Stegostoma tigrinum: one gene and its partner. The protein of the gene in region 1 purifies or fractionates together with the protein of each later gene. This does not show direct contact. Links are inferred from orthologs where the notes say so. Each region holds a gene or a part of one and is shown on either strand. Other genes may lie near its edges.

The links.
Region 2: the proteins of zinc finger protein 280D (region 1) and cbx1b purify together in Homo sapiens (affinity purification with mass spectrometry; 4 studies listed by BioGRID and IntAct, with this or other methods). This does not show direct contact. The link is inferred for Stegostoma tigrinum from reciprocal best matches to the Homo sapiens genes ZNF280D and CBX1.

Annotation. Positions count from the first base shown.
Region 1 is NC_081386.1:16,243,823-16,260,553, reverse strand, and holds the start of zinc finger protein 280D, read left to right. Parts: upstream 1-9,360; 5' UTR 9,361-9,475; intron 9,476-16,731. UniProt on the Homo sapiens protein: May function as a transcription factor.
Region 2 is NC_081384.1:3,306,735-3,322,411, reverse strand, and holds the start of cbx1b (chromobox protein homolog 1b), read left to right. Parts: upstream 1-8,415; 5' UTR 8,416-8,538; coding exon 8,539-8,542; intron 8,543-9,465; exon of another isoform or gene 9,466-9,488; intron 9,489-9,494; exon of another isoform or gene 9,495-9,624; intron 9,625-15,677. UniProt on the Homo sapiens protein: Component of heterochromatin. Recognizes and binds histone H3 tails methylated at 'Lys-9', leading to epigenetic repression. Interaction with lamin B receptor (LBR) can contribute to the association of the heterochromatin with the inner nuclear membrane.

The DNA of each region.
Region 1 (16,731 bases):
ACTTGTTATATGATGTGATATACCTTTAAGGTGATGTACCCTCAACGTCAGTTGATCATTATCGATGTTGACAGGATAATATGTGTTATGGAGAAGACTGATTCAACAGTGTTAGAAGTGAGATGGTCTATACTAAGCTCCTAGCTGTCATTATCTGTAAACATACATATCTACAAATAACAGAACTGTATTATTGTTTCATTAATCTTTCTGTTTGACTGCTAGATTTATATCTACACAATTATACAGTGATGCCAGCTGGCAATTTCTAAAGATGTTTTGTTTTTAAGTGCACTATCCCTAACATGTTACTGTATGAATTTGAATTTTTGATTCCGCAGAATAAAAGACTCAACCCCTTCATAACCATTGGAAGAAAATAGACAGGTGCAAAGGGAAACAACTTAAAAAATGTCTCACCAGGCTATAAGAGATTCTGAAGCTCTGCAGATACCATACACACATCACATATAATCCCTGTACTGAATCATGGAATCCCTGCAGTGCTGAAAGAGGCCATTTGACTCAATAAGTTTGCACTGACCTGCTAAAGGGCATCACACCCAGAGCCAGCTCCCTATCCTATCCCACTTTTACCATGGCCAATCCAGCTAACTTGTACATCTTTGGGCTGTGGGAGGAAGCCAGAGCACCCAGAGCACACAGACACAGGGAGAACAGGCAAACTCCATGCAGTCACCCAAGGCTGGAATCTGAACCCAGTTCATGGTGCTGTAAGGCAGCACTGTTAACCACTGAGCCACCAAAAGACTGCCTAAATTTGGGGAAGATTAAGTCGTCAGCTGTGAGTCTCAAGCAGGAACAGACTGAAATAGCAGATTGTGGAAGGACACTTCATTTTAAGTAAAGCTTGCTGACAGGAGAATTGATCTTAAATACTGCAAACTGAGCAAGGAAGAAGACCCTATCGGTTAACATTTCCGAACATGTAATGGAAGGTAATAAAAAAAAACCCTTTTTAGACTGATTCACAACTCTTTGAATCAGGCAACCCAATTTTAATATCAAAAAATTGTGGGTGAATTCAGTAAAGCCAAAGGAGCTCAACAGTGCCACCATGGTAGTCAAGTAATTGCCTATGACCAGCCAAGGCAGTGGCCGCTAAAGGCTCTGCAATTCAGGGCTCCTTAAGCCTAGAAAAGCTGGAAGAAATTTGAATGTCTGATGAAAGTTCCTGCAACCTGTACAAGGCAAGAAAATGACTACAAAGTCTCCATTACCCACTTGAAAGCAATGGATCTCCCGTCAGATTATGGGATAGGCAGATTCAATTGAGGCATTCAAAAGGGCAGTGGCTGATTATTTCAATATAAATAGTGTGCAAGGTTATGCAGAAAAGGCAGGTGACTGACACAAAGTTAACCTGCTCAGAGAGGGCTGCAGACACACCATGCCAATCAGCCTCCTTCTGCATTCATAACACTTGTGTGATTCTGAGTTTACTTTGTTGTGACAGAGTGGTGAACTATAGCTTTTGGATCTCAGAATTTCTTTACCAGTTAGACAAGACATTAAATTTAAAATTGCTGTAGGCAATGAAGTCCTCCACTGACTAAACGCATCAGGTCTGAATGATGACCATGTTAAGAATCCAGAAAACATCAGGTTACCACTCTGAGTACAAAAATTAGTGAAGCTCAGCTTTTGAATACACCATCTTTTAGGCAACAAGTACAAAGAGCTCTGAATAAGTAAGCAAATGTAGATTGCAACTTAATCCCATCAAAGTTAGCTGATAGTGTAACCAAGCTTCCAGTAGTATCTACATCAGGGAAAATGTCCTAAAAAGAAATCTTGGACAAACACAAATGTTATATGTGGGAAAAATAATGATAAAGTGGATACAAATATGAAGCCACAACAATGAGTAGTCGGCATCTCCAGGCTATGCATAATTCATCCAGTACTGGCACTGTAGTCAGTGAAGGAACATTTCTAAGTAATGAAAATGCTCAGCTTTGAACACTGTACGCAAGGCATGCAGCACCAGAGGACATTACAGCTTAAAGGCAAAGGCAGAACAAGTGGTTCAATGTCCTAAGCTATATCCAAAAGCCAGATAGGTACAGACCTCTCAGCAACCAAGCACACATCAATCAGCATAAAGGCAAGCTCCACCAAATGTCTCACTAAGCTGTTAGTCAGATTACGAGGATGACCAACATATAAATAAATTAAGTGAGCAACCGTTTAGTTTGATTTACATCAAAGAATGTATTAGCACAGTGGTACCAACAGAAGCTTTTGTTCCCATCCAAATGAGATGGTCAAAAATGAATGGTTGGCATAAACTACAGACAAAATGAGAGGCTGGTTGAGCTACAAACAACCTTCAACTTCGTACAATGAAATGTATATACCCACAGTAGTCGCAAGTGGCGATTTAGGCAATCAGCACCAAATTCGTGCATACAATGATTTGAAGGTTCCAGATCCAAGATCCATTACACTTAAGCCTTGGTTCAAAACCTCATCCTGATCAACCGGGTATTTTCTCCTGCAGATACTATAGCATGCTAGGTTATTACCATTTGTATTATCATCATGGCAACGATGAGGATCAAGACACTGGTAAGGCCACATTTGGAATACAGCATACAATTCTGGTCACCTTGCAATAGGAAGGATGTTGTTAAACTGGAAAGGGTACAGAAAGGACTTACAAGGATGTTACCAGGATAGGCTGGATTTATTTCCTTGGAGCAGGGAGGCTAAGAGGTGACCTTATAGAGGATTATCAAATCATGAGGGGCACAGAAAAGGTGAACAGCAAAGGTCTTTTTCGAAGGGTAGGGGAGTCCAAAATTAGAGGCCATTCGTTTAAGGTGAGCGGGGAGAGATTTAAAAAGGACCTGAGGGGCAACCTTTTCACAGAGAGGGTGGTTCGTGTATGGAATGAGCTGCCAGAGGGAATGGTATTAGTGGGTACAGTGATAACATTTAAAAAACAGGTGGGCATTTGGACAGGTACATGAACAGGAAAGGTTTGCAGAAAAATGAGCCAATTGCAGGCCAATGGGACTAGTTCAGTTTTAGAATACCTGGTCAGCCGGAACAGGTTGGGCCAAAGATTCTGTTTCCATGCTGTATGGCTCTATGATTCTACAGTCGACATTATTTAGGAGAAGGTGTCCTAATTCTGCAACACAGGTCATCAGCCAACATGCTACACAACGCTGTTTGGACCAGCATTTCTTGCCCATACTTAATTGCCCTTGAGAAGGTAGTAATCAACCAAAACATATACTCCTTGCTTTTGTTTGTTCCTTACAAATATATTGGCAAGGTGTCGAATATATTAAACATTGATCTGGGATGTAACTGGAAAGGAAACCGATTGTGCATTAAAACTAATTTTCTTGTAGTTGTTCGCAATATGAAGAATACAGTGAAATTGAAAGTGACCTAAAAAGTAAATAAGAAAACACCAAAGGCTTTGAGGTTATCTACTGTAGCCCAGATGCATAATTATGTTGACAATGGACTTGAAAATAAAATAAATATTTATAAATACATATAGTGTTAATATTGAAGTGAACAAGATGATTTCACAACGGTAGACAAAACAATATGAAATCATTCATCTCGTTGAGCAACTAATAAATTAGAACTAATGATGAACTCAAAAACTTTTCAGCTGTTCCACTTTTAGGCGATGGAATCACATTCTGAGAAATTTTAAACAGTTTTGTCCTGGAAAAATAATGACCCATGTGATCCAATTAATGCATCGTACTTTATTTTGATCGTTGCAGATGGAAATAAGCAACCAAGGCTCAAAGATCTCAAATTTTGAAACAATATGTGATAAAATGTGCCTCTGAAAGAGGTTAATGTGTAGTTTCATGTGCAGAGCGTTGTTTTATATTACCAGATAACCATGGTGTGGAAAACCAATGTCTGTTTCAGGAAATAGGGATGATCTGACATTTACAACAAGATTGCCGTTATAATTAAAAATGTTATTAACCATGTGAAATTTATTTTCAACTGACATAAGCCAACTAGGAATTTGTGATAAATATGTTTTCATTTTTTTCATTTATTCATGGAATGTGGGTGTTGCTGGCTTGCCTGCATTTAATGCCCATCCCTAGATGCCCTTGAGAAGATGGTAGTAAGCTGTCTTCTTGAGCCATTGAAGTCCACACACTGTAGGTTGAACCACAATGATTTTTAAGGAGTATTTCCAGCATTTTGATCGAGTGACAGTAAAGGAATGGTGATATGCTTCCAAGTCAGGATGGTGGAATGGAGGGGAAGTTGCAGGTGACGGTGTTCCCAATGTATTTGCTGCCCTTGGCCTTCTAGATGGAGGCCGTCATGGGTTTGGAGAGTGCTGTGTAAGAATCTTTGGTGCATTTCTACCGTGCCTCATGTAGATAGTACACATTGCTGCTGAGTGCTGGGGTGGAGGGAGAGGATGTTTGTCGATGTGGTACCAATCAAGTGGGCTGCTTTATTTGAGATGATTGTCACACTCTTGAATGTTGTTAGAGTTGCATCCATCCAGGCCAGCGGGGAGTATTCCATCATACTGCTGACTTGTGTCTTGTAGATGGTGGACAGGCTTTGGGGGATTGGAAGATGAGTTACTTGTCACAGTATTCCTAGCCTCTGACCTGCTGTTGTAGCCATTGTGTTTATGTGGCAAGTCCAGTTGAGTTTCTGGTTAATGGTAACCTCCAGGATGTTGATAGTGAGGAACTCAGTGACTGTAGCACCATTGAACGTCGACGGCTGGTGATTACATTGTCTCTTTTGCTTCTACTCATTCATGGATGAGGGCATCACTGGCTGGGTCAGCATTTATTGCCCACCACTTAAGGCCCAGAGGACAGTGAAGAGACAACTACATTGCTGTATCTCTGCGGTCAGATGTAGGCCAGAATTGGTAAGTATGGCAGAATTCCTTCATTAAAGGACATGAGTGATGGGTTTTCCCCAACATTTAGACAATCCATCTCTTTGGAAGGGTCATTGCTTGGCATTTGTATGACGTGACTGTTACTTGCCACTTGTCAGCCCACGTCTGGATATTGACCAGACTTTGTTGCATTTGAACATGGACTGCTTCAGTATCTGAGGAGTCACCAATGGTCCTGAACATTGTGCAATCATTGGCAAACATCCCCACTTCTGACCTTATGATGGAGGCATTGTCATTGGTGGAGCAGCTGAAGATGGTTGGGCCAAGGGCATTACCCTGAGGAAGTCCTGGAGCTGAAATTATTGACCTTCAACAACCACAACCATCTTTCTGTGTGCCAGGTATGACTCCAACCAGTGGAGAATTTGCCCCCTGATATCCATTGAGTCCAGTTTTGCTAGGGCACCTTGATGCTGCACCTAGTCAAGAGCAGTCTTGAGGTCAAGGGCTGTCAGTCACATCTCACCTCTGGAATCCACTCTTTTGTCCATGTTTGAACCAAGGTGGTTTTGTGGTCAGGAGCTGAGTGGCCCTGGTGGAACCCAAACTGTGCATCACAAGCAAATTATTGCAGAGCAGGTTATTGCTTAATAGCACTGTTGAACATAGAACATAGAACAGTACAGCACAGAACAGGCCCTTCAGCCCACGATGTTGTGCTGACCATTGATCCTCATGTATGCACCCTCAAATTTCTGTGACCGTATGCATGTCCAGCAGTCTCTTAAATGACCCCAATGACCTTGCTTCCACAACTGCTGCTGGCAACACATTCCATGCTCTCACAACTCTCTGCGTAAAGAACCCGCCTCTGACATCCCCTCTATACTTTCCTCCAACCAGCTTAAAACTATGACCCCTCGTGTTAGCCTTTTCTGCCCTGGGAAGTAGTCTCTGGCTATCAACTCTATCTATGCCTCTCATTATCTTGTATACCTCAATTAGGTCCCCTCTCCTCCTCTTTTTCTCCAATGAAAAAAGTCCGAGCTCAGTCAACCTCTCTTCATAAGATAAGCCCTCCAGTCCAGGCAGCATCCTGGTAAACCTCCTCTGAACCCTCTCCAAAGCATCCACATCTTTCCTAAAATAGGGCGACCAGAACTGGACGCAGTATTCCAAGTGCGGTCTAACCAAAGTTTTATAGAGCTGCAACAAGATCTCACGACTCTTAAACTCAATCCCCCTGTTAATGAAAGCCAAAACACCATATGCTTTCTTAACAACCCTGTCCACTTGGGTGGCCATTTTAAGGGATCTATGTATCTGCACACCAAGATCCCTCTGTTCCTCCACGCTGCCAAGAATCCTATCCTTAATCCTGTACTCAGCTTTCAAATTCGACCTTCCAAAATGCATCACCTCGCATTTATCCAGGTTGAACTCCATCTGCCACCTCTCGGCCCATCTCTGCATCCTGTCAATGTCCCACTGCAGCCTACAACAGCCCTCTACACTGTCAACGACACCTCCAACCTTTGTGTCGTCTGCAAACTTGCTGATCCATCCTTCAATCCCCTCATCCAAGTCATTAATAAAAATTACAAACAGTAGAGGCCCAAGGACAGAGCCCTGTGGAACACCACTCACCACTGACTTCCAGGCAGAATATTTTCCTTCTACACCACTCGCTGTCTTCTGTTGGCCAGCCAATTCTGTATCCAGACAGCTAAGTTCCCCTGTATCCCATTCCTGCTGACCTTCTGAATGAGCCTACCATGGGGAACCTTGAGGATGCCATCCACTTTTGTTGAACAGAATGCATTGAAATGTTTTGTGAAAAGATCAGTATATGTGATCATGACATAAATACACATTTCACCTACAGTTCCTTGTTAAGGCAATGGTGTAGTTCTCCAAAATAGAGGGAGTGGGAGGATACAACTGTGCAATAAGGAAAAATCATAGAAAATATGAGTTAAGATCTCAGAAATTTTTGTGGGCGGAAGTTATTTTTGTTTCAACTTTTCTGTTTCTATTGATTTGTCAGTGACAAATACGCTTAATTTCCCCATACCCAGTGCAGCTCCAGTGTGTAACTGTGGATCCAATGCACAGCAGCGGCCCCAAATTCCCAGCTCATCCATGCTTAACTGCAGCCCAGCTCCGAGCTGCTGCTCTAATTCTCAGATGTTAAAAAGATTAATTCATGGGATATTGGCTTTGCTGGCTGGGCCAGCGTTTATTGGTTACCTGTGTTTTCCCTTGAGAAGTTGGTGGTGACCTGCCTCTTGAATTGTTGCAGTCCATTTGGCGTAAGTGCTTTTTCAGAGGAAGTTTCAGTATTTAGATCAAGCCACACTGAAAGGATGGTTATATTCTTCCAAGTCAGGACGGTGAGTGGAGGGAAAATGCGGGTACTGGTATTCCCATTTATCGGTTGCTCTTATCCTTCTAGTTGGTAGTATTTATGGATTCGGAAGGTGCTGTCTAAGTGGCTTTGATGAATTTGTGCATTGCATCTTCTAGTCTGTATACATGACTGCTTCTGAGCACTGACAGTGGCAGGAATGAATGTTTTTGGAAAAAGTGCCAATCAAGTGGGTTGCTTTGTCTTGGATGGTGTCAAGCTTCTTAGTCGTGTTGGGGCAGCACTTATCCAAGCAAGTGGACAGTATTCTACCATATCCTTGACTTGTAGATGGTGTACAGGCTTTAGGGAATCAGGAAGTGGGTTCCTTGCCACAGTATTCCTTGCTTCTGACCTGCTTTCGTCACCACAATATTTATGTGCAGAGTCCAGTTGAGTTTCTGCTCAGTGGTAACCCCAAAGATTTTGATGGCAAGGAATTCAGTGAAAGTAATGTCATTGAAAGTCAAAGGGTAATGGTTAGATTCTCTCTTGTGGGATATGGTCATTGCCTCGTTCTTAGATCCACAGTCTTGTTACATCCTGTAATGAATGAAGGAGGCTTCACAAATATCCCCATCCTTAATGACTGGGAACCCAACACATCCGCACAAATGATAAGGCAGTAACCTTTGTCCAGAAGTGCTGAATGAATGATCCAGCTTGGCCTCTCCAGAAGTCTCCAGCATGGCAGATGCCAGCCTTCAGCCAGCTCATGTAAAAACTCAGTCATTAAAGATGGGGATATTTGTGAAGCCTCCGCTAAGACTTAGCTCTGATCTGTTGGTTGTGGGATTGCTGAGCTCTGTCTACCACTTGCTGCTTGGCACTTGCTGTAGACTTGTTTTGTAGCTTCACTATGTTGACACCTCATTTTTAGTCAGGCTTGGTGCTGCTCTTGGAATGTCTTTCTGCATTTTCCACTGAACCAGGGTTCATTCCCTGACTTCATGGTGATGGTAGAACAGTGAAATATGTCAGGCAATAAGGTTGCAGATTGTGTTGGAGGACAATTCTGGTGCTGCTGGTACACTATGCCACATAGATGCCCAATATTAAATTGCTAAATCTGTTCTTAGCCCGGTGACTGTATCACATAACACAATGCAGTGTATTCTTAATGTAACGACATTGCTTCTATCTTCACAAAGATGGTCATGGGCATGTCAGCTGCAGCTCAGCATGAAGGAGCTTAGCGTAGTGCTGCAGCTAGGCATGGGAACAATGCTGGGTTTTGGGGAGCTTGGAAAAGGGCTGCTGCTGCGTTACGAAGAAAGGTACATAGGATGTAGTTAGGCATTAGGCCAGACATCATCCTTGTCCAGCCGTATGCTCAGCTCCCCGATGCCCAGCTGTGGTCACAAACCCGAAGCTCAATTTCCTCATGCTGGCTGGAACTCTACATCCAACTCTTGTCATGCCCAGCTGCAGGCACAAGCCCCGCTCTCTTGTGCTGGACTGTTGCCCCATGTCTAGCTCCTCCATACCCGGCTACAACCTCATACCCAGCTGCAGCTGCCATGCTCAGCTCTCTCATGCCTAGCTGCACCCCCATGCCCAGCTGCAGCTGACATGCTCAGCTCTCTCATGAATAGCTGCACCCCCATGCCCAGCTGCAATGCCCAGCTCTCTCATGCCTAGCTGCACCCCCATGCCCAGCTCTCTCATGCCTAGCTGCACCCCATGCCCAGCTCTCTCATGCCTAGCTGAACCCCATGCCAAGCTGCAATGCTCAGCTCTCTCATGCCTAGCTGCACCCCATGCCCAGCTCTCTCATGAATAGCTGCACCCCCATGCCCAGCTGCAATGCTCAGCTCTCTCATGCCTAGCTGCACCCCATGCCCAGCTCTCTCATGCCTAGCTGAACCCCATGCCTAGCTGCACCGCTCAGGTCTCTCATGCCTAGCTGCACCGCTCAGGTCTCTCATGCCGAACTGCACCCCCATGCCTTGCTGCAATGTTCAGCTCTCTCATGCCCAACTGCACCCGCATGTCCAGGTGCAGCCCCGTGCACAGCAGCAGGGTCTTCGCGCGCCAGGTCTGCCTGTTACCCATGATGCTTCGGGGACGTCCCCATTGCGCAGCTGCGGCAGCAGCAGCGGCAAAAAATATCATAATAATCTTGGCGGATGGCCGGCGTTAAGAAATTGCGCGTTTAGGCCGCAGAGAAGCAGGCGGTGAGTCACTCTTTCTGACGGGTATTGATTAGGGAGGTTCAGTACCGTGCGGGGATAGCCTCGGGCCCGCAGCGGCCTGTGGGAGTTGGCTGGGTAGGTCGGGGCCTGCCGAGCGGGCGGCCTGACCACCAGCGCCATGTTTGCTGTTGTCGCTTCGCATAGAAGAACGGGACGGACGGCGAGATTCAAGGCGAGGCCTCTGGGCGGGCCGACCACTTATTAATTAGCACTTCATTCGCCTTATTGTGCCATCTGTCACGTCGTGATCCCCTCCCCGAGACTTTTTTTTTCCCCCGATCACAGGCAGTTCGGATGGATTTTTCGTTGTTGTGGCGAAGATTATTTATCAGAAGCTGCCCGCTGCCAGCAGAAAATAAAAGGGCAAAGAAAGAGCTCGGGGATGGGTGATTCGAGATCTGTCCCCCGCTCTTTACAGGCGCCTGTAGCGTTCCAGGCGACCAGCAGCTGTTTCCTAACATCGGTAGCTCTTTAAAAAGATACACGCACACGCTTTACTCAACAGCTTACCACAACCTAATGCAACTTACATGATACAAAAGAAGCAACACACGTGCGTTTATTCCTTTTTTGACAGTTACGTCGTGTTCTTTCACGTAGTGTATTTCCAAAATTTGAAGGCTAAGACTTTAGAATAAAAAAAAGTGGCAGATGGTCACTTCCACTGCATACAATTTCTCCTTAAAATGTCAAATGTTCACTTACATTGCATGAAACTTTATTTGATTACTGATTTGAATATTGTTGCCTTTATTTTGTAACTTTTTTTATAAAAATGTTGACCCCTGAACCAAGGTTTCAGTCTGTACACTTCACTCAAACAACTCTCTGAATTTACTGTAGTACCTCGGTTTGAGGCATTTTCATGCTTTTCTTTCTGTAAGTTGCATGCGTTTTGGAGGATTAAAATCACTCGCATTTGCTTTCGTATTACATTATTTAAACTGGCATTAACCCTAAAAAGATTTCTGAAGAAGGGTCTAGGCCCAAAACGTTAGCTTCCCTCGTCCTCTGATGCTGCTTGGCCTGCTGTATTCATCCAGTTCATCTCATATTAATCCTTAAAAGTTTTTTTTATTGCTTAAAGTTAAAAAAATTGCTAAAAGCAGGTAGCACTTTTTTTTACAAAAGGTATGTAGTGCTCCTGTATTTATGCTGAAATAAGTGCTAAGCGTTTGAGTTAGTTCTTAAGATATTTATTTTAGGACTAGGACTATAATTTCATTCATAATTTGTTCTGAACAATGTGTAGATTTATAATTTTCCAAAAGTACTATAGTTGAGAGGAGGTTACAGGTTGTGATAATCCAGTACCCGAATTGTTGACAACACGGGTTCAGGAAAATCTTCGCACTGAATCAAGAGCTGAATTTATGGTGCGATGTCAGATATTGTTTATAGTCAGTCAATTCCTTTTGATCTTACAGAAGATATAAGTTTTTGTTCTTTGGACAATAGTGTGACGAGACACTACAAAATGTACCCATATTTTGGGATAATTTTATTGAAAATTGGCCACAGTATTGATTTTTTTTTGAAGAGCATGATTACAGATGCAGTGTTTGACTGAGGTGCTTTTCAGACTTTCATTTTAAAATTCCTTCTGGGAGTTGAATGTTGCTGGAAAACTCGGTGCTTTCTTGCCATTCCTATGAAGTCACGAATGTCATTTGTGAAGCACTTCATGGTTTTCTAAGATTTTGACCCGGTGAAGTGACCGAAAATTGAAGGTGACATCTAAAGTTTTTAACAAGGTTTTGTAGCTTGGCTTGTAGTTCAGTGGTAGACTTGTGCGTCAAGCTGGTATGTTTGATTGCAGATGTTTCGTCACCTTGCTAGGCTACATTGTCAGTGCACCTCTGGTGACATCATTCCAAATCAGGATGGTGTGTGACTTGTCAGCAGTGGTGTTCTTGTGTTGAGTTGCCCCTGTTGTTGTAAATTGTGGAGACTGAGAGTTTCACAACTGTTGTTGGAGGAACTTCGGTGAGTTGTTGCTTTTTATGAATGATGTGCACTGCTGCCAATGTATGGTGGTGTTTTGAGGGATTGCATGTTTAAAGTGGCATATGTGCTGATGAAGCAGGCTTTAAAGTTTGTTGAGAAGATTTGAGCCGAACACCGTGGCTCGGTGAGCAAGTCTGCAACCTGATGAAGCAGACTGCTTTGTCCTTGTTGGTGTTGAGCTTCTTGAGTATTGTGTTAGAAAGACAAATCTATATTTAAACATTCTGAAGGAAGCTGGAAGGTATAAAATCATTTGGACCCCTTTTTTGGCTTGAATTAAATATGTTTTTTTGGGCAATTATGTTCAGCAGTATGAGGCCTAAGACCTACCTGCAAATTATGGAAGTGAAATTTTTAATGTGTGCTACAAACCACTTGCAGTTTTTCTGGAAATCAAATGGTTTTCAAGAAGCAACCAAGGTAAGGTAGGAAATTAAGAAATGAATATGGTATCGTTGGGGGAACGAAACTGGCTTTGAGGACTCGGGGACCTATACTAATAGATGCCTAACAATGTTCTGTGGTTTGAAAATTCTGATTCACAGTCCTAGCAGTCAGTGATTTGTGAAGACACCCCAGAAGTCCTGCTTTGAGAAGTCTTTGCTGATAAATGCATAGAGTTTCTAAATACTAGTATTTCTGTCTCTGTAATGAAGCCTGAGGTAGTAGACTGTAATCCCATTCTCAACAGCTCTAATCCCAGTTGATTGGAACAGACCTGGGCATTTATCAATTGACAGCTGTGTTCAAAGGAAATTCAGTGGACGTAACAAGTTATTGTATTTTATCCTTTGTTACCAGACTTTGGTCTAAGGGAGTTGTTGTTTCCCTCTTTCATCTCTGTAGACACCTACCTGTCTTTTTGTGTTGTGTGAATGTGTCTACATGTATGGCATTAAGGGGATATAGTTTTAATACCAGCTGAAAGTTTAAATGTTGGTCAGTACTTGCCACTTGCTTTATTCATTCATACTAATTGGCTGTTTTCATGATTCATTCAAGAACTAGGTAACAGTGCAGAAGTGGGGAATTGGCCATTTTGGCAAGTAATTTAACATACACACCATTAGTGTTAGTGTTTGAGTATTGCTCCTATTACAGTCATTAATGCTGAAATGGCACTCATTGAGACAATTGAGAACAACATAAGAACATGCCTGCTCTGCCTTTGAAAAGAACATGGCTGATCTTTTCGCAGACTCAGCTCCACTTGCCTGCCTGCTCACCATAACCCTTAATTCCTTTACTTTTCAAAGACATCCAAGAGAGAGTTTATCTCTTTGCTGCCTTATGGATGTTTGTTAGGCTTTGGGGAGTCAAAAAATGAGTTTCTGTCTGCAGAATTCCCAGCTTCTGATGACTCCTGTGTTTATAAAGCATGAATCATGATTAGCTGAATCAAAAATGTACTTGTATTGCAGATGAGTGGTAAAATTTGAAGCAGAAGTAGAGATGAATGACTCCTCCTTTTAAGCAACTTGTTCAGAGATGTTGTGACACACATCTGGAGCAGATGGGACTTCAAACTGGGCCTCCTGCTGTGCCGCAAGGACTGGGATAAATGACAAGAAACGAAAAAGAATCAATATCACCTATCTAAGATATTTCCACCAACCAGGATATGAATGAACTCACTTGTGTAAGCAGCTGATCTGCCAAAATTAGATGGCAGTTCTGTTTTTTAGGAAGAAAAATCGAATTTACTTTAAAATCCTCAATACAGCCTGACAGAAGGCTGACAATTAATCTGGCCCTGGTTGAATAGACAAATTTCTGTTCTTATTGTTATTAGTCAGAGTCATACAGCACAGGAATAGGCTCTTCAGTCCAACTTGTGCATGCTGACCACGTCTCAAACTAAATTAGTGCCATTTGCATGTATTTGGTCTATATCCTTCAAAACCTTTCCTATTCATGTACCCGTACAAATGTCTTCTAAATGTAACTGTACCTGCATCTACCATTCCTCTGGCAGATCATTTCACATTCAAACCACCCTCTGTGTGAAAAGGTTGCCCCTCAGATCCCTTGTAAATCTTTCTCCTTTTACCTTAAACCTATGCCTTCTAGTTTTGAACTCTTCTTTCCCCCACCATAGGGGGGAAAAAGACATTGGTATTCATCTTATCTATAACCCTCATGATTTAATAAATCTCATGTTCCAGTGGAAAAAGTCCCGTCCTATTGGGTCTCTTTTAACTCAAACTTACCTGTTCTGGTAACATCCTCGTGAATCTTTTCTTCACCCTCTCCGATTTAATATCCTTCCCCCAGCCGGGCAACCAAAATTGTACACAATACTTCTAATTTGGCTTCGTGAGATCTTGTGTAACTGCAACATGACGTCTCAGCTCTTATAGTCAATGATCTGAATAATGAAGGCAAATGTGCCAAACACCTGTTTCTTTACCACCCTGTCTACCTGTGACACAAATTCAAGGAACTCTCCCTGAACCCCTAGGCCTCTGTTTGAGAACATTCCCAGTGCTCTACAATTAACTGTGCAAGTCCTGCCCTTGTTCGTCTCACCAAAATGTAACGTGTTACATTTATTTAAATTAAACTCCATCTGCCACTCCTTGGTCTGTTAGCCCAATTGATCAAGACCCCTCTGTAATCTTAATTTTGGTGTGATTTGCAAACTTAGTAACCGTGCTTCCTAATTTCTCATGCGTATTGTTTATATGAAAGGCAAACAGTGGTGGACCCTGCACCAATCCCTATGAAACACTGCTGATCACAGGCTACCTGTCAGAAAAACAGCCCTCCACCACCACTTTTGCTGTCCTCCTGTCAAGTCAGTTTTGTTTCCAATTGGCAAATTCTCCCTGAATCCCATGTGATCTAACTTTACTAACCAGTCTACCATGCGGAACCTCATCAAAGGCCTTACTAAAGTTCATGTCAACAATATCTACCACTCTGCCTCATCTCACTTTAAAACTCAGACAAGTTTGTGAGACTTGATTTCCCACACACATGCAATGCTGACGGTCCGTAATCAGTCCTTGTCTCTCCAAATGCAAGTAAGTTCTCTCCAATAACTCACCCACCATTGACGTCAGACTCACTGGCCTAGTTTCCTAGGTTTTTCCCTTGCAGCCTTTCTTAAATAACAGCACAACATTCGCCACACTTCAGTCTTCTAGCATCTCACCCATGGCTGTAGATGATAAAAATATCTTGTCCAACATCCCACAATGTCCTGGGATACACTTGAGTAAGTCCTGGAGATTATCTCCCTTCATGCCTTTTAAGGTCTCCAGCACGTTTTTGTAATGTGGATTGTTTTCATGACATCAGTATTTATTTCCCCAAGTTCTCTAGCTTCCATGTTTTTTCCATGGTAAATAGACAAGTAATTCTAAGTCCTTTTGTGTTGTAGCTTTCTGCAATTTTTCTCTATTCAAATCCTATTCTGTTCTTTTGATCTTCCATCCAAAACATAGTAGTTCATATTTTCCCACACTATTTGCTAAGTTTTTGCCCACTTGCTAAACTGATCAGTATCTCTCTGTAAACTGTTTGTGTCCTTCCCATTGCCTATTTCAGCTATTTTTGTGTCATGTGTAAATTTGGCTGTAGTGTTGGTGGTCAAAATAGAACATTAACTGTGGTGAAAATCTCATGTTTGTGTTCAGAATTGCTCAGTGATTCATTTCAAATTAGGAAAGGCTGTTGAACTGCCTTTAAAGCTATTGTCTTCTATTGAGAAACCTAGAAATTTCAGCTTTTTCCCAAATGATTTACATATTCTGTCTTCAATTCAAATTTAAATCAATTTAAATAATTGGTGAAATTTACAAATCTTAGAATTGTCAAAATGAGATCATTGTATTAAATTTTGCCAAGATCAGTTTTCATGTGTTTCTAATATATGGTTGTTATAGAAATACATTAGACAAGTATGGTGAAACTAGTTTGCATTAACAATTTACATTGAGGTCCGAGGTCAACGTTGTATCTACTTTCAGTTTCGTATTTCCTGACCTAGAGTACATTTTGTACCAGTATCATTGCAGAATGTCTCACGGAAAGTCAAGAATAGTCAGTTGTAGAAAGTGATTGGAGTTTGATGAAAAATTGAACACTGTGTATGTTGATTTATAACCATGTATATATTAAGGGCATGCACACTGTCCCACTGGCTTTTAAGTGCTACCCCACCCCCGCTAAATTTTCTTATTTGTAATGGAGATTTTCAAATATTCTTTATTTTCATCTTCAGCTAATTTTTGCTGTACAATGGGAATAACCTGGATCAAGAACATTTTCTTCTGGCTATTTGATTTCATTTGCTGTAGAATCGCCCATTTTTAAGGTTTAAGTATTCACAGCTGTCTTGCAACATAAGCAAATGTCTGCCAAATGAAAAAGGAGGTCAGGGTGCTCATCCTCCTGACTTTTGTCCGAGGGAACATCTTTATGACAAAAAGTCAAGAAGAAGGTACTGACAGGTCCTTTAACGCCTCTGAATGCTTGATGTTGTCCTGAAATGATTTGGAATGGGCAGGAAAGCAGAATACGTCAATGATAACATTGGAGAAATGATGTTCAGGTGCCGGTGTTAGATTGAGGTGGACAGAGTCAGAAGTCACGTGACACCAGGTTATAGTCCAACTGGTTGGGTGACAATGGGGTTATACTCTGAAAACCTGCAATTTCCAGAAAACCTGCAATTTCCAATAAACCTGGGCAACTATAACCTGGTGTCATGTGACTTCTAACATCAGAGAAAGATGTGAATTAAGTGGGATATTGCTTTTCTTGCACTTTTGCCTCCGTTTCCTTGTCTCCCAGTTAAGATGTTATCTTTTCAGGGCCTCCTGAGTTGGGGCAAAAGAGTCATAATGGACTTGTAACATTAACTCTGTTTCTCTCTCCATATATGCTGTCATATCTTTTAGCTTCCCCAGCACATTGTTTTCATTTTTGATGATGTATTATCTGAATTAATGACCCAAGCGCTGAGGCAAATGGACACAAACATAATCCTGAGAATTTCTGTGAATTATTCTATAATTTCACTTTGATAGATATGATTTTAAAAGGGAGGGGGGAAATTAAGGGACAGGTTAGAGTGAGTTTCATTGTGGTGCTGTTCTCGCTGAAGAGTATGAAATGGAGTGCACCCCACACAAATATGTCAGTCTGTGAGATTGATTCAGCAGAGAGCAGGAATTGGGGACCTATGTCGTTCTCTCTTGTCTCACTGGGCATTTGAATAATTG
Region 2 (15,677 bases), on another chromosome or scaffold:
GTTACGGTGACGGGTGGGTAAAAGGCATTGATGCGTTCAGTCAGCCACAAACACACTGAAAGGTGGTACAGAATCAACAGACTGAATGGCCCACTCCTGTTCCTATGTCCTTTATTCCTATCACTGCAAGCAACAACAATGGGAGTGTCAGATGTACAGCGATAGGGAGAGACACAGTTGCCAGGTACTTCAATAAGAATGGTGAGAATAGTTTGGAAAAAAATCCAAAGTCAAGGGACAGTGGAGATGAAAATTATCCTGCTCTTTAATCTTTCACAGGTTTGCTTCAAATTCTAATTGCTAAATTTACCAGTTTTACCAATCTAAAAAAGAAATAGACTGAAGGTCCACAACGTATAGCACAGGATGTCTGCAAGGGTAAAACAGGGAGAAGTAGTGGAGGTATCATACATCAAACCATGCTGCATTGAATTTTAGAATGGTTACACTATACAAGGAGGCCATTTAGCCAATATGTCTGCTCCAGCTGTCTGCAAGAACAACCGACTACATACCACTTCACTACCTTTACTCTATAGGCTGGTAACTCTTTTGTTCCCCTTATAATTACCCAATTCTATTTTGAATTCCAGGATTGAATCTGCCTTCAGCATATTCACAGAAAGTACATTCCAAGTCCTAAACAGTGACTGCATAAAACAAGGTTTATCCTCCTGTAGAACAGCACTCTGTTTCTTGGTCATGCCATGAACACAAACAGTTTTTTCCTGTCTACTCTGTCCACTCCCTTTATAATTTTGAGAATCTCCATCCAATCCCTTCAAATTGAAACAGACATATAGCCTCTCAAGTCTGCTCTACCTTCCATTCAATCTTGCTGATCTGACCTTGGACTCAAATGCACGTTACAGCCTGCTAGTCATAAATCATAAAATATTGTGCTAATTAGTGACACCAAGTTTGTGTGTTTTCAAAGCCTGAGGCTTGTCAGAGAGAATTTAGTCCAAGGGAGGTTCTTGGGATAAAAGTTGGCACAATTCCATGTTTGCAATTATGCAGACAATTACTGCCTTTCAAACAGCAAATCTATAGCATCAATATTGGAAATCAGAAAGGGGGTTACACTATTAAACCAGAGTACGGGTTTGATAGCTGATAGCGAAAAATTAGCAAATCAGCCTGTATTAACATTGCACAGTTAATTCCGCAATCACATCCTCCCATTGAGCAAGCCCTGCTCAAAAGACTGGAGATTACATATACAGCAGGACTCTGTAAATCCTGTTCTCACTCCCAGCAGCTAAACCGGCATTGTAGGATGACAGGTTAAAGATGGGGCAACAATGTAATTACATCAATTCTCAGAACTATGCTCCCATTATAAAAACCATTCAAGCAAGATTGGTGGGTCAGACATACACAGTAACATTGATTTTCCAACCTGCACTTCCTGTGAGCATGGCTTTCAGTTGCAAGCCAGTGGGTGGGCCTCTTTTGTAGTCCAGCTCCTTCAGCAACTTCTCCCAAACAGCTCCCTTTACATTAGCATTCACTATGTAAATGGGTCAAAAAAATGAAACTGTTAGTTTACCATTTTCAAGATATTTTTGTTCAAACTGTGAAAACATATGGCTGTTCACATTGCATCTGCACGCTTGAGCCTGTTTTTTTCAACCGTCGGCATCACCTGATAGCTTCAGGTGCAGAAACACTGATAGTGCTGGAAGATTAACTCCTTCCTCACAGGGACCAGGCCACAGGAAAACTATTTCCGCAAACCTCTAAACTGTATAGAATAGACAGTCATAGATTAGAGGACTATTTACCAACTAAAAACTTGCTATTTATCAGAAATGTGTCCAGTAAAGACAGAGTAAGGCAGAAAATCCCCGGTTTTCTGTGCAGTCTGAGATGGCTGATTTCAGGTTAAAGAGATGATTAGTCAGAATACAAAGAACAGCAGAGAATGATGATACAGTTAATCAGGACAAACTAAAGCGTAAGAGAAAGCCAGAAATATAAAAACAGGCAGTTTCTAAAGGCACATGAAAAAAAATGAAGTGAGTGTTGGTCCTCCATAGGGCAAGAATAGAGAGTTAATTGTGGATAATAAAGAAATGATTGATGTAGTGAATAAATATTTTGATTCTGTCTTCACTAAACAGGATACAAAAATAATCCCAGTAATAACTATAAATCAGGTGGTTGGAGGAAGAGACGAACTTCACGAAATCATAATCATTAGGGAGACTGTATTGACCAAAACAGGTGGAGTTGCAGGTTGATAAGTCTCCAGATCCAGGTGGATGGCATCTTTGAACATAGAACATGGAACACTACAGCGCAGTACAGGCCCTTCGACTCTTGATGTTGCAACGACCTGTGAAACCAATCTGAAGCCCATCTAACCTGCACTATTCCATTATCATCCATATGTTTATCCAATGACCATTTAAATGCCCTTAAACTTGGCGAGTCTATTACTGTTGCAGGCAGGGCATTCCACGCCCTTACTACTCTGAGTAAGGAACCTACCTCTGACATCTGACCTATATCTATAACCCCACAATTTAAAGCTATGTCCCTTCGTGCTAGCCATCTCCATACAAGGAAAAAGGCTCTCACTATCTAATCCTCTGATCATCCTGTGTGTCTCTATTAGGTCACCTCTTAACCTTTTTCTCTCTAACGAAAACAGCTTCAAGTCCCTCAGCCTTTCCTCATAAGACCTTCCCTCCAGACCAGGCAACATCCTGGTAAATCTCTGCACCCTTTCCAATTCTTCCACGTCCTTCCAATAATGCAGCGACCAGAACTGTACACAATACTCCAAGTGTGGCCACACCACAGTTTTGTACAGCTGCAACATGGCCTCATGGCTCTGAAACTCAATCCCTCTACCAATAAAACCTAACACACCATACGACTTCTTAACAACCCTATCTATCTGGGTGGCAACGTTCAGGGAACTATGCACATAGACACCCTCAAGGAGGTGACTAATGACATAACAGATGTGTTGGTATTAATTTTCCAAACTCCATTAAATTCTGGAAGGTTCCATTAGACTGGGGAGTAGTAAATATAAGTGATAATGGGAACTGCAGATGCTGGAGAATCCAAGATAATAAAATGTGAGGCTGGATGAACACAGCAGGCCAAGCAGCATCTCAGGAGCACAAAAGCTGACATTTCGGGCCTAGACCCTTCATCAGAGAGGGGGATGAGGTGAGGGTTCTGGAATAAATAGGGAGCGAGGGGGAAGCGGACCGAAGATGGAGAGAAAAGAGGATAGATGGAGAGGACAGTATAGGTGGGGAGGTAGGGAGGGGATAGGTCAGTCCAGGAAAGACGGACAGGTCAAGGAGGTGGGATGAGGTTGGTACGTAGGAGATGGAGGTGCGGCGGGAGGAAGGGATGGGTGAGAGGAAGAACAGCTTAGGGAGACAGAGACAGGCTGGGCTGGTTTCGGGATGCAGTGGGTGGAGGGGAAGAGCTGGGTTGGTTGTGTGGTGCAGTGGGGGGAGGGGACGAACTGGGCTGGTTTTGGGATGCCGTGGGGGAAGGGGAGATTTTGAAGCTGGTGAAGTCCACATTGATACCATTGGGCTGCAGGGTTCCCAAGCGGAATATGAGTTGCTGTTCCTGCAACCTTTGGGTGGCATCATTGTGGCACTGCAGGAGGCCCATGATGGACATGTCATCTAAAGAATGAGAGGGGGAGTGGAAATGGTTTGCGACTGGGAGGTGCAGTTGTTTATTGCGAACCGAGCGGAGGTGTTCTGCAAAGCGGTCCCCAAGCCTCCGCTTGGTTTCCCCAATGTAGAGGAAGCCACACCGGGTACAATGGATACAGTATACCACATTGGCAGATGTGCAGGTGAACCTCTGCTTAATATGGAAAGTCATCTTGGGGCCTGGGATAGGGGTGAGGGAGGAGGTGTGGGGGCAAGTGTAACATTTCCTGCGATTGCAGGGAAAGGTGCCGGGTGTGGTGGGGTTGGAGGGCAGTGTGGAGCGAACAAGGGAGTCACGGAGAGAGTGGTCTCTCCAGAAAGCAGACAAGGGTGGGGATGGAAAAATGTCTTGGGTGGTGGGGTCGGATTGTAGATGGCGGAAGTGTCGGAGGATGATGCGTTGTGTCTGGAGGTTGGTGGGGTGGTGTGTGAGAACGGGGGCGGGGTGTGAGGGTTGTGTTGCGGGAAATGCGGGAGACGCGGTTCCCTTATTTGGATAAGCTCATGAGTAGGAAAGGTTTGGAGGGATATCGGCCAAGGGTTGGCAGTGGGACTAGCTCGCTTTGGGAACATGGTCAGACCAAAGGGTCTGTTTCTGTACTGTATGACTCTAAGAAGGGAGGGAGGCATAAACAAGATACTTTGGGCCAGTTATTTGACTTGTGTTGTGGAAAAATTTTAGAATTGATCATTAAAGACATTATAACTGGGCACTGGGAAAAATCCAAGATGACCTGAAAGAGTTAGCATGGCTTTGTGAAAAGGAAATTGTATATAATCTACTTATTGGGGTTCTTTGATGTCATATGACCTGTGGATAAAGAGGTGTACATTGATATATTGTACATTGATTTCCAGAAGGCATTTAACAAGGTTCCACGTAAAATGATATCATGGAAAATAGGAATTCATGGTGTAGGGAGTAACATATTTGCACGGATAGATAGTTGGCTAACTGGCAAAAAATGAAGAGTATGCATAAATAGATCTGTTTCAGTTTGGCAGCACGTCACAAGTAGGGACCCACGGAGGTCTGTGCTGGGCAGATCACATTTTACAATTTATATCACTGACACAGATGAAGGGATTCAAGGCACAGTGGCTAAGTTTGCAGGTAACACAAAGAAAAGTAGATTTTATTTGTGAAGATGATATATCAAGGATGGAGGTCGATACCATAGATTAGGTGAGTGGACAGAAAGTTGACCAATGGAACATAAAGTGGAATTCAGCTCCAGGAGCGGGGGGAAGCAGAATAGTTGAAAATTTTTAAAGTGGAGGTGATAGGTTCTTATTACGCAGGGGAATCAAAGTTATTGGGGGCAGATGACAGGGGTGAAAGAATTAAAAAGGACCTAAGATGCAACTTTTTCACACAGAGGTGGGTGTGTGTATGGATGGAATGAGCTGCCAGAGGTGGTGGTGGAGGCTGTTACAATCATGCTTAAAACAAATCTAGTTCAGCACATGAACAGAAAGGGTTGACAGGGATATGAGCCAAATGCTGGCAAATGGGACTAGATCAGTTTAGGATATCTGATCAGTGCAGATGAATTGGATTGAAGGGTCTGCTTCCATGGTGTATAACTCTATGATTCTACAAGGAATTTGGAACATAAATTGATCAGCTATGATTTTACCGAATGGCAGAGCAAACTTGAAGAGTTGAATGGCCTACTTCTCCTCCAGATTCATATGTTTGTATGAATGTTAGATGGGGCACGTACGGAGAAGAGTTCATTTGTGATGTGCCTTGCCCCACCTCAATCCCCGTCTCAGCGTAATCAAACAGCTACTGTCATAATCACGCGAGGGTATTAGCACTTCAAAGGGAAACTGAATATGACTGGAGTCTAAGGCGCTGCATTGCACCAAAATGTGAATTATTTCATAAGATGGGAGGGTGGCAATGGACAGTTACTTTTCAGACTGGAGGCCACAAGAATCGGTGCTGGGTCCACTGCTTTTTGTCATTTTATATAAATGATTTGGATGTGAACACAGGAGGTATGATCAGTAAGTTTGCAGATGACACCAAATTGGAGGTGGAATGGATGGCCAAGAAGATTACCTCAGAGTACACGGAACCTCGATCAGATGACCAGTGGGCCGAGGAGTTTAATTTAAATAAATGTGAGGTGCCACATTTTGTAAAGGCAAATTAGGGCAAGACTTATACACTTAGTAGTTAGGTCCTGGGGCGTGTTGATGAACAAAGAGACCTTGGCACGCAGGTCTGTAGTTCGTTGAAAGTGGAGTCGCAGTTAGATTGGACAGTGAAGGCTGCATTTGGTACGCTTGCTTTTATTGGTCAATGAATTGAGTAGAGGAGTTGGGAGGTCATGTTGTGCCTGTACACAACATTGATTAGGCCACTATTGAAAAATTGCATGCAAATCTGGTCTCCTTGCTATAGGAAAGCTGTTGTGAAACTTGAAAGGGTTCAGAAAAGATTTACAAGGATGTCAGGGTTGGAGTGTTTGAGTTATCGGGGGAGGCTGAACAGGCTGGGGCTATTTTCCCTGAAGTGTCAGAGGCTGAGGGGGTGGCCTTATGCAGGTTTATAAAATCATGAGGGGCATGGTTTGAGTAAGTAGGCCAGGTCTTTTCCCCAGGGAAGACCAAAACGAGAGGACACAGGTTTAAGGTGAGAGGGAAAGGATTTAAAAGGAACCTAACGGGCAACTTTTTTCACACAGAGGATAGTGCGTGTGTGGAATGAGCTGCTAGAGGAAGTGGTGGAACTGGTACAATTACAACATTTAAAAGGCATCTGGATGTGTATATGAAGAGGAAGGATTTAGATGGATATGGGCCAAATGGGACTAGATTTATACAAGATATCTGGTCGACATGGACCAGTTGGACCGGATGGTCTGTTTCTGTGCTGTACAATTCTGTGGTTCTAGCTATGAGAAATGAATTATTGAAATTAGAATACTATCTTTAACCCTGGGACTTCTGTTCAAATCAGATTTTCTCTATTGGCTGTCTTAATAATTGACAATCAGTCTCAAACTCGTGACAATCAGCATCATACACACTGAATCCAAAACTAGCATTCAGCTTGGTAAAAATAAGAACATAAGAAATAGACACTGGCCTTTCATTTACATCCTTAGTGATCCCCTTGCTGAAAATAAGACCTACATTTGGCCAACAACAGTGACATGGATTTACACCAGAAAACACTAGCAATCATCATTTCAGAAGATCTCACCCACCACTGCCATTACAAAGTTGACTCAGATTGTTTGGTTGTTTGCTTCAGCTGACCAAGCAGTCGATACGGGTCAGATCTCTACCAACAGCATTTGATTCAAACCCTCTTCTGACTGAGCTGAGTTCAGGACCCTTTTGGAGCCATGGTGGAGATCAGAGTTTTGTGAATGAAACTTGCCTTTGGGCAGAAAATTGAAGTAGCCAAGAACAAGAGTGTCTTTTGTTTGATGATACTGGCCTAACTTAGTGCCTTCTTCCAAGTTGGTTTTAAAAAGGCCAGATCAACTTCAGCAATTCAAGAAAGCAGCTCAGCATCGCCATCTCAAGAGCAGTTGGGTTATGTAATAAATATTTGCCCAGATAGTAACATTCACATTTCATTTCAGTATCAAGGCCCATGCCCTTGAGCTGACCAGACCAGCATGTTTCATAATTACTTAATGTTGATGCAACTTTAAAATGGGGAAGCTAACAAAAGTTGCAACTTTAACAGATTTAACATGGTAAAACAATCCAAGCTACTTCACAAGAGCATCAATCAGGCACAATGTGACACCAAACTCCAAAAGGAAATACTGACACAAGTGACTAAAAGCTCAGCCAAACATATAGCTTTTCAGAAGGATGTTAAAGGAGGCAACAGAGGTGGACAGGTTTAAAGAGGAAATTTCAGAAGTGGTGGTTACAGCTGAAAACATAGGTTCCAACTGTAGAGTGATGAAAATCAGGGGTACTCAAAAGGAAAGAATTTGAGGTGCCTAAGACATCTCAGACCTGGGGGAAGTGAGAGAAATTGACAAGGGGAAAGGTCACTGGAAGATTTAGAAATAAGAATTTCAAAATCGAAGTGTTGCAGGACCAGGCAACAATGTAGCCGAGCGAGGTCCGAGCAGCAGGGTTATGGTTGAGCTTGAATTTTGATGGAGTAGAAGACATATTATAATCTCTGATGAAGGGTCTAGGCCCGAAACGTGAGCATTCCTGCTCCTGAGATGCTGCTTGGCCTGCTGCGTTCATCCAGTTCCACACCTTGTTATCTCGGATTCTCCAGCATCTGCAGTTCCCATTATCACATATTATAATCAACCTGGTCAGAGGTGTTAACCTCTGGAACAGGAGGGATTTGAACCTAGGGCTCCTAATTTCGGGATAGGCGCACTTCCACCGCATCACGACAGCACCTCTGAGTGGAAGACGAGGTAGCCAGGATAGCACTGGAATAGTCCATGGTTTAAAATGATTGCTTCTGGTGATTTCTGTGATCCTAACAGTCTGCAGTCACCACCTCTGGCCGAACCTCCCCCTGAGTTTATCAGGTCAAAATAAATAGGTAGCAGTAACACAATCACTTGAAGCCGGGGCCAAGGCGCAGCAGTTAATAATCAGCCGTAGGTTTCTTTTCGTTGAAAAACCAACAGGCCCCGTTTAATCGCCGTGGATTTACCTCAGGACGGTTGTGACCGAGTGCAGCAGCATCTTTTCCCCCCACTCCCCGCCAACCCCACAAACCGCCGCCCACCCACAAGCCCCGGGTCCGCCTCCTCCCGAGCTCCGGCTACTCGCCCCATCCCGCAGATTGGTTCCGACTCCCCGGCACGCCACCATCTTTAGCGGCAACATGGGTAAAGCATTTCCACTCTTTTATTTATTTTTTTTAAAAAATCTTTAAAACAAAACCGAAGAAAGGGGGTCGGTATCCCGCTGCTTCTTGTCCGTTCGCCCTTTGTAATTTTTGGTCAGCGGCGCAGGGGTGGTGAAGGTGAAGGGTTGTTGTTTGTATGGTGTTTAAGTTGGGGGGGGAGGTGGTATGTGAGGGGAGGGCGGCCTCGGGCTTTATTGTGTCTCGGGGTTTTTTGTGCCGATCCCTGGGCCTAGGCCGCGGCCTGACCATTCAAAAGCATCTCCTTTCCTCAATCGAAGTTATCCTCGTCGCCAAGGACTTGATTTTATTTTTTTTTGAAATGCCGCGTCAATTTCTTTTCATTTGCGAGAAAAAGGGTGTCATTTTAAAAAAACATGAACTTGCTTTGATTAGTGCGCGTGCGCCATGCGGGATCATAGAGGAATGTTTTAACGCTGAGAATTGTATTTACTTTATGCAGAGGATTTTAAATGCACGTTCACAGTCGTGTTTCTACGAAGAACTTGCACTTTTGGGGGGAAAACGAAGCACATTTTTTCACCGAAATCCAATGTTTGGTCCCTGTCCCGGGTACATTTGTGCCGCGCGCGGTTTGTAGTCCGGCGGTGGCGGCGCCTCACTGCGCATGGGCGGGCGCTCCGAGCCACTGAAAAGAAGACGAAAATCTGCTCCTTTCGAAGCGGGGAGGCTACCCTCTCCCCAGGCAGGAGCGGGGAGGATATGCGACGGGAATGTGGCCGACGCCCTCCCTTCTTTAGCCCCGGAGTAGCGGGTTTTGAAGGCCCCCATGAAGGCGGGAAGCAGGGCCGGCGTGGACTACAACTCCCAGCAACCCCCACCACTGGGCGCCATGTTGGAATTTCCCGCGCCTGCGCACTGGCGGCGCTCGGTCACCGTGGCGGGTTGTGAAGAAGCCTTTTGTTTGTGTGTGTTTCTTTTACATTTTTACCAAAACAGCTTGTGTATTTTTGCAAGATTTGTTTTCTTAGATTATAGTAATCGTGGGATTTGAAGACGGTTTAAAATACTAGTATTACCGTCGGCCGCTCCTTTTTATAAAAGGTACGGGTTTGCATTTTAAACGTTCCCTTTTTAAAGTTGCAAACACCACCTGCAGCTTAACGGCGACTCGTTGCATTAATTTGAAAATATTTTTTCCCACTTCACTGAATCCTCCTTCATTCCCCGCCCAATTTGAAGGCGTCAGTTGGGTTTCGGTGGGTGGCATTTGGCCTCTAAAGTCAGAAGATGGTGGGTTCAAGCCCCACCGCAGAGACTTGAGCGCACAATCTAGGCCAACGCTGTGTGGTGCTGTACTGAGGGGGTGCTGCACTGCCAGACGTGCCATCATTTCGGTGGGACGCTAAATGGAGTGATGCTGTGGGATGTTAAAGATCCCGCGTCCACTCGTTCAGAAGATCAGGACACCGTGTCCTGACCGTTATTCCCGCCCCCCCTTACTAACAACGCAGGAGCCAAATGAGGGTTATCTAAATGGATAATTGTTAATCTGAGAGAAACATACTTCAGATGTTAAACCTGTAAGAATCTCAAAATGCTGGAAGTGCTTAACAGATCTAGCATTATCCACTGAGAGAGAAACAATGAATGATTCTAGTCGATGAAGGAGTTTATTTATTGCGGAGAGATTAACTGATCATGTCACGTTGCTATTTGTTGTGGTGACTTCCTTTAACAACTGGACAGCAGCATTCATTCAATAATTTGCTCTGCTGTGAATCGTGTTTTATTTTGTGCACGTTTTGACCCACACAGTGCAGGAGAAGGAAGAGAGTTTCTTCCTTGGCGCTATCTTGTCAGCCAGATCTTTGGCAGAGGTTTAGCAGATGGTTCTCTTCAACTGGTGCCAAATTATACCATGCCTTTCACAAACTCAGATCATCATGCAGCTCTTTTCAACCAAGAAGTAGTTTTGAAATATAGTCACTGCTTAATGATGTGGGAAGTGTAGCAACCAGTTTAGACACAGAAACCTCTCAAACAATAATGTGGAAGTGGTCAGGTCTTTAATAATTTCAAACAAAATGTTGAAGAAACTCAAGACTGGCAGCATCTGTAGAGATATAATCAATTAATATTTGAAGCTTGGTATGACTCCTTCAGAACATATTTTTAGTGATATTTGTTGAAGGGTAAGAGATGGAGACACCAGGGAGAACTCTGCTGTTTTTCAGAGTTGCTGTGGATATTTTGCATTCATCTAAGAAGGCAGATGGCACTTAAGGTCTTATCAGATGTTAGATATTTTGGATAGTACAAGACAGGTCAGCCTGGATGTGGGGGAATTAGAATCCACTATCTTCTAACGCCAAGGTGAAAATGCTGCCACTGAGACAAAACTGACACTTTAATCAAAGCCTCCGGTGACAATTTTTCAGAATAACCAGTTGTTGATCTGAATGAGGTTATGCACCCGTTACTGTACTTCATCTTGTTTAAGAGGTATACTCATGAAGTTGTTGCCAGGATACAGTGAAATTTGCCAGGCAATAATAGTACTGTGAAACTGGCTGTGATGCAGCATAGGATCTCATTGAAACCACTATTTTGGTCGGTACTGACTCTGAGTCTGTTGCACTAATTGGTACTCTGCAATAAAAATTGCCTTAAAATAAAATGACACCCAGAAATACTAAATCTATATATCTTCTTAAAAAATCCTTTGACAGAAGAGGAGGCGAGGAGAATGTGAGCTGATTCTTAATGAGCAATCTCTGCAGAGCAGCAGGGCTTAGAGAAGCTGCTTTTCCATTGCTGCTGTTTTAATTCTAATTCCAGCCAGGAGATCTGGTTTCTGAGCTTGTTTCTAAGGTTGTGTTAACACCTGGTTCATATTCCAGTAACAGATTTAGTGTCTCATGAGTTCACAATCAGTACATAATGCTGTCAAGAATTAGTGTACAGTTTAGTGCAAATATTGGTCAATAGTGTAAATGAACGTTTTTGAATATGGACCTGTCAGACAAGTTATAATGGTGTTGGAAGCAAAGGTTTATTAAAACCACTAGTTTGTGATGAAAGGAATCTAGTCATATGGGCCTAGCCAGGTTACATCCTGACAGTTTTTTTTGTTGGGGAATGGCAGTGTCATTTGGTTCCAGTCAACTGTGACTCGAATAATTTTGCCTTAAAGTCCCACCGTTGCTTACAAGAATTTTTCTTACTTGTGATACAGGATTAAATTTCATAGGTTTCATTTTGTGAATAGGCACTTTGACCTCCAAGCTGCCTCCCTGCTCCTGTAGCCCAGCAGCAGCAAGCTGTGAACAGTTAAAACTGGGCTGTGGATTGTAACTTGCTGCCAGCAAGCCTGCTTGTAAGCTTGACCGCAGGTCTGACATGGCAAGACACCCAATGTGTTGCCATGTGGGTTGCAAACATTTGTACTCGGACATGCAATCTCAACTGACTGCAGCTCCTCACGGCCCTAATCATCATCTCCCTGTTTGCATCAATATGGCTTTTTAACCAATTCCTCTTTGATAAAGGTCTACATCAAGCAAAACTACATGTTTTAGACTAGTTTTCCAAAAATGTTCTAAATAGGTGATTAGGTAATCCAGACTGTTGGCTACACATACTGGGACTGTAAATATTCACATTTCATAATGAAGAACTTGTTTAGGGGAAGGGGTTTACAATGTAAAATATAGAACATGAAGCTTGTTGCTGTCTAGAATTAGGAGGGAATTAATTTCTTATGCAAGATGATACTGAAACCCCTGCATTGATGATGGACATAATTTTCAAAGTCCTCTTATGAAAGTCAGCTTCAGAGGAATCATTTCAGTGTGTGTATATATATGTGTGTGTAATACACATATATAATATGTACTATATATAAAATGTATTTATTTAAAAAAGCTTAGCCCTTCTGGATGGTTTTATTTTCAGTGTTCAGTATAATTCTTCATGATTAGTTGGTGTTGATCTTATTTTATGGTTTTGACTTATGTGACGTATGGCCATTTCAATGAAAATTATTAAAATATTCTACATAAATATACTTCTTGTATTGCAACAGAGATTACATAAAAGGTATTTAATTGTCTGCAGTGGGACTTTTGGAAGTCCTGTGTTTGTGAAAAGCACTGTCTATAAATTTGTGGTTGCTGCGCCATTCCTCATACTTAATCAGTTCCCTGACTCTTCTGAAATCTTCAGCTTACACGTTCGCCGTTCATAAGATCTAACTTTCTGTCAATCCATTAGTTTGGGAATAAACATTTGAGATTGGGTGATTGTCCTGGGTGTGTAAGGGGAGGAGCAATAAGAATTGATTATGCTCTCATCGCTGTTCATGAATGGAGCCTGGAGAATGGGAATATCTCATTGTTCGTTTGTTAAACCATTCTTGGGACATGGGGTGCTCACTGACAAAGCTGTACTTAATTCCACATCCCTACTCTCTAATAAGCAGTTTGATACAATTGAAATAAATGTTTTTGTTTGTATATCACCCTTCCTGACTGCAGGATGCCCCAAAATACAACATTACTAATGAGATTATACTGCTCTGAAGTGTAGTTATGCCATATTGTAGGAAACATCATAGCCAAATCTGTGTGAAGTAAGATCCCTTAAGCAGTAACGTGCTGATGACCAGCAACTTTATTTTAGTGATACCGACTGAGTGAGAAATCGTGGGCAGGCCACTGAGAAAAATGCTTTTGCTCTTCTTTGATATGGCACCACAGGATCCTTTGTGCCTGCCTGGGAGGGCAGACCATGGCTTCATTTTACAAATGTGAAATATTCTCCATATCGCAGAAGTGTCACAGTAATGCACTGAAGTGGCAGCATGGATTATAGGCTCAGTCTCTTGTGTGGGACTTTAACCCACAACCTTCTAATTAGTAGGTATTTGAACCAATGATGACCTTGCCTTCTTTCAGTGAGGTGGAGTTGGCACATGATATCTGAAACAATTTTATGCATGGAGTGATTCCTGCGGTCTTGCAAACACAAACATAGGCTAAGATTTAAATTAATAAGCGATCTTTTATTTAGTACAACACTGGTCATCAAACCACATCATGTTAAGTGAGGATGAAAAAAACACACAGGAAATGCATAATAAGTTAAGATATCTGAAAGCTAAAGGGAGCAGACAGCAGGCCAGGTGCAGTCCGTCTCCACACAGCGTCATGGAGCTAGAACACAGTGAACATGGAAGGTTGCCAAGAGGCATAAGGCCAGTGGAGTTATGTTTTTTGAGGCAGTCTGTTGCAAAGTCTTTTTATGAATAGTTCTGAACAAAAAATTCCTGCAGTACTTTTTAAATGTAATTTTTTTTCTGATAGTTATTAAAGCAATTTTGAAACAGCAAAATGTGCCATATAATTTCTTTATAAGCAACAGAAACTTGATGAATTTTACCAACCATTTTCAAGAAATTGAACCTCCTTCAGGAACAGCTAAAGAAGTAGAAAAAAGTTGAATTTTCTATATGTTCAGAAACTATGAACAGCAGAGGATCAAAGATTTGGAAATCATTAGACAGGCATGGAAAACAGTCAAAGCAACTAATAGAATGTTGGCCTTTTGCTCAAATGATGTTCCAGTTATGTAGTATCTGACAAAGGCTCTGTTTAGTGTCGTTGTTCATTTCTGACACTGCACCTCAGGAAACAATATACTGAACGCAGAGGTGGTGCATTAATTTAATGATGAGGTGGTGTTAAATACATTCAGTCTGTATTCCCTTGAGTTAGAAGATTGATCTGATCAGGTGTTTAAATGTTAAAAGGTTCCAATATGGAGAAATCTTCCTCTGGTGGTGAAACAAAACAGAGTGTAATTGTGTGGGGCAGTGTAAAAACCCACCTGATTCATCAACTTTCTGGAAGGTTGGAAATCTGCTATCCTTATCCAGTCTGACCTCTGTGATTCTGGCTCACAACAATGTGGGTGACTCTGCAATGGCTTAGCAAGCCATTCGGCTGTATCAATCCATTACAATCCCCCCTGCAAAAGGGATGAAACCAGATGGACAGCCTGGCATCACCAGGCTATCAGGGATGCTTTCACTAGGTCAAAATGCTGGAACTCATCCCTGTATCACATGTGCTACACTGGTTCGAGGAGGGGGCTCATCACCATTGAGGTGGCCAATAAATGTTTGCTTAGCCAGCGATGTCACGCCCGATTGAATGAATAAATAATTAAAGTCACAGGATGGTGATAATTTGGAACACTGTGTTAACAGGCTTTAGGTACTTGAGAACAAGTGGTGTGGGTGGTATTGATGGATTGAGTTTGTGGGTAAGTGATTTGTAGAAGACTGATGAAAACAGACTGGTTGAATGGCATCCTGTAATTGCATCTGTCCATATGAGCATCATTTTCTTCCTTCCTACAACTGTTCACTACATAGATTTATGATCCAGATGCTGCTTCAAGAGAATGTGGGATGTAGGTGCAATCTGATTTCTGTGTTGCTTGCAGCTTTCCTCCTTGTTGGGAGGGATAGGATAGGGCCACAAGTACCGATTTTGTTAGTCGATTTTTCAGCAAACAGTTGAGATCCCTTTGCAACCACCCGACACTGTCCAACAAAGAGCATCATTTGGTTGTTGATGAAGCCCACATGTTGCAATTGCTTCTTTTTCCTCAGGTTTTCTCAGCATCACATTCACTATCCTTCTCAAAGGAGCAGAGTACAACATAAACTCTGGATTTGGACAACTGTTTTCTAGATCAGTCTGCATGGTGGCTTAGTGGTTAGCACTGCTGCCTCACAGCGCCAGGGACCCGGGTTCAATTCTAGCCTTGGGCGACTGTGTGTGTGGAGTTTGCGCATTCTCCCCATGTCTGCGTGGGTTTCCTCCGGGTGCTCCGGTTTCCTCCCATAGTCCAAAGATGTGCAGGCTAGGTGGATTGGCCATGCTAAATTTCCCATAATGTTCAGGGGTGAGTGGGTTATAGGGGGATAGGTCTGGGTGGGATTCTTCAAGGGGCAGTGTGGACTTGTTGGGCGAAGGGCCTGTTTCCACACTGTAGGGAATCTAATCTAAAATACTGAGACTTTGCTTTGCAATAATCACAGTTCTGATTTGAAGCCCTTAGAGTACTTACATCCAAGCTAACCACAG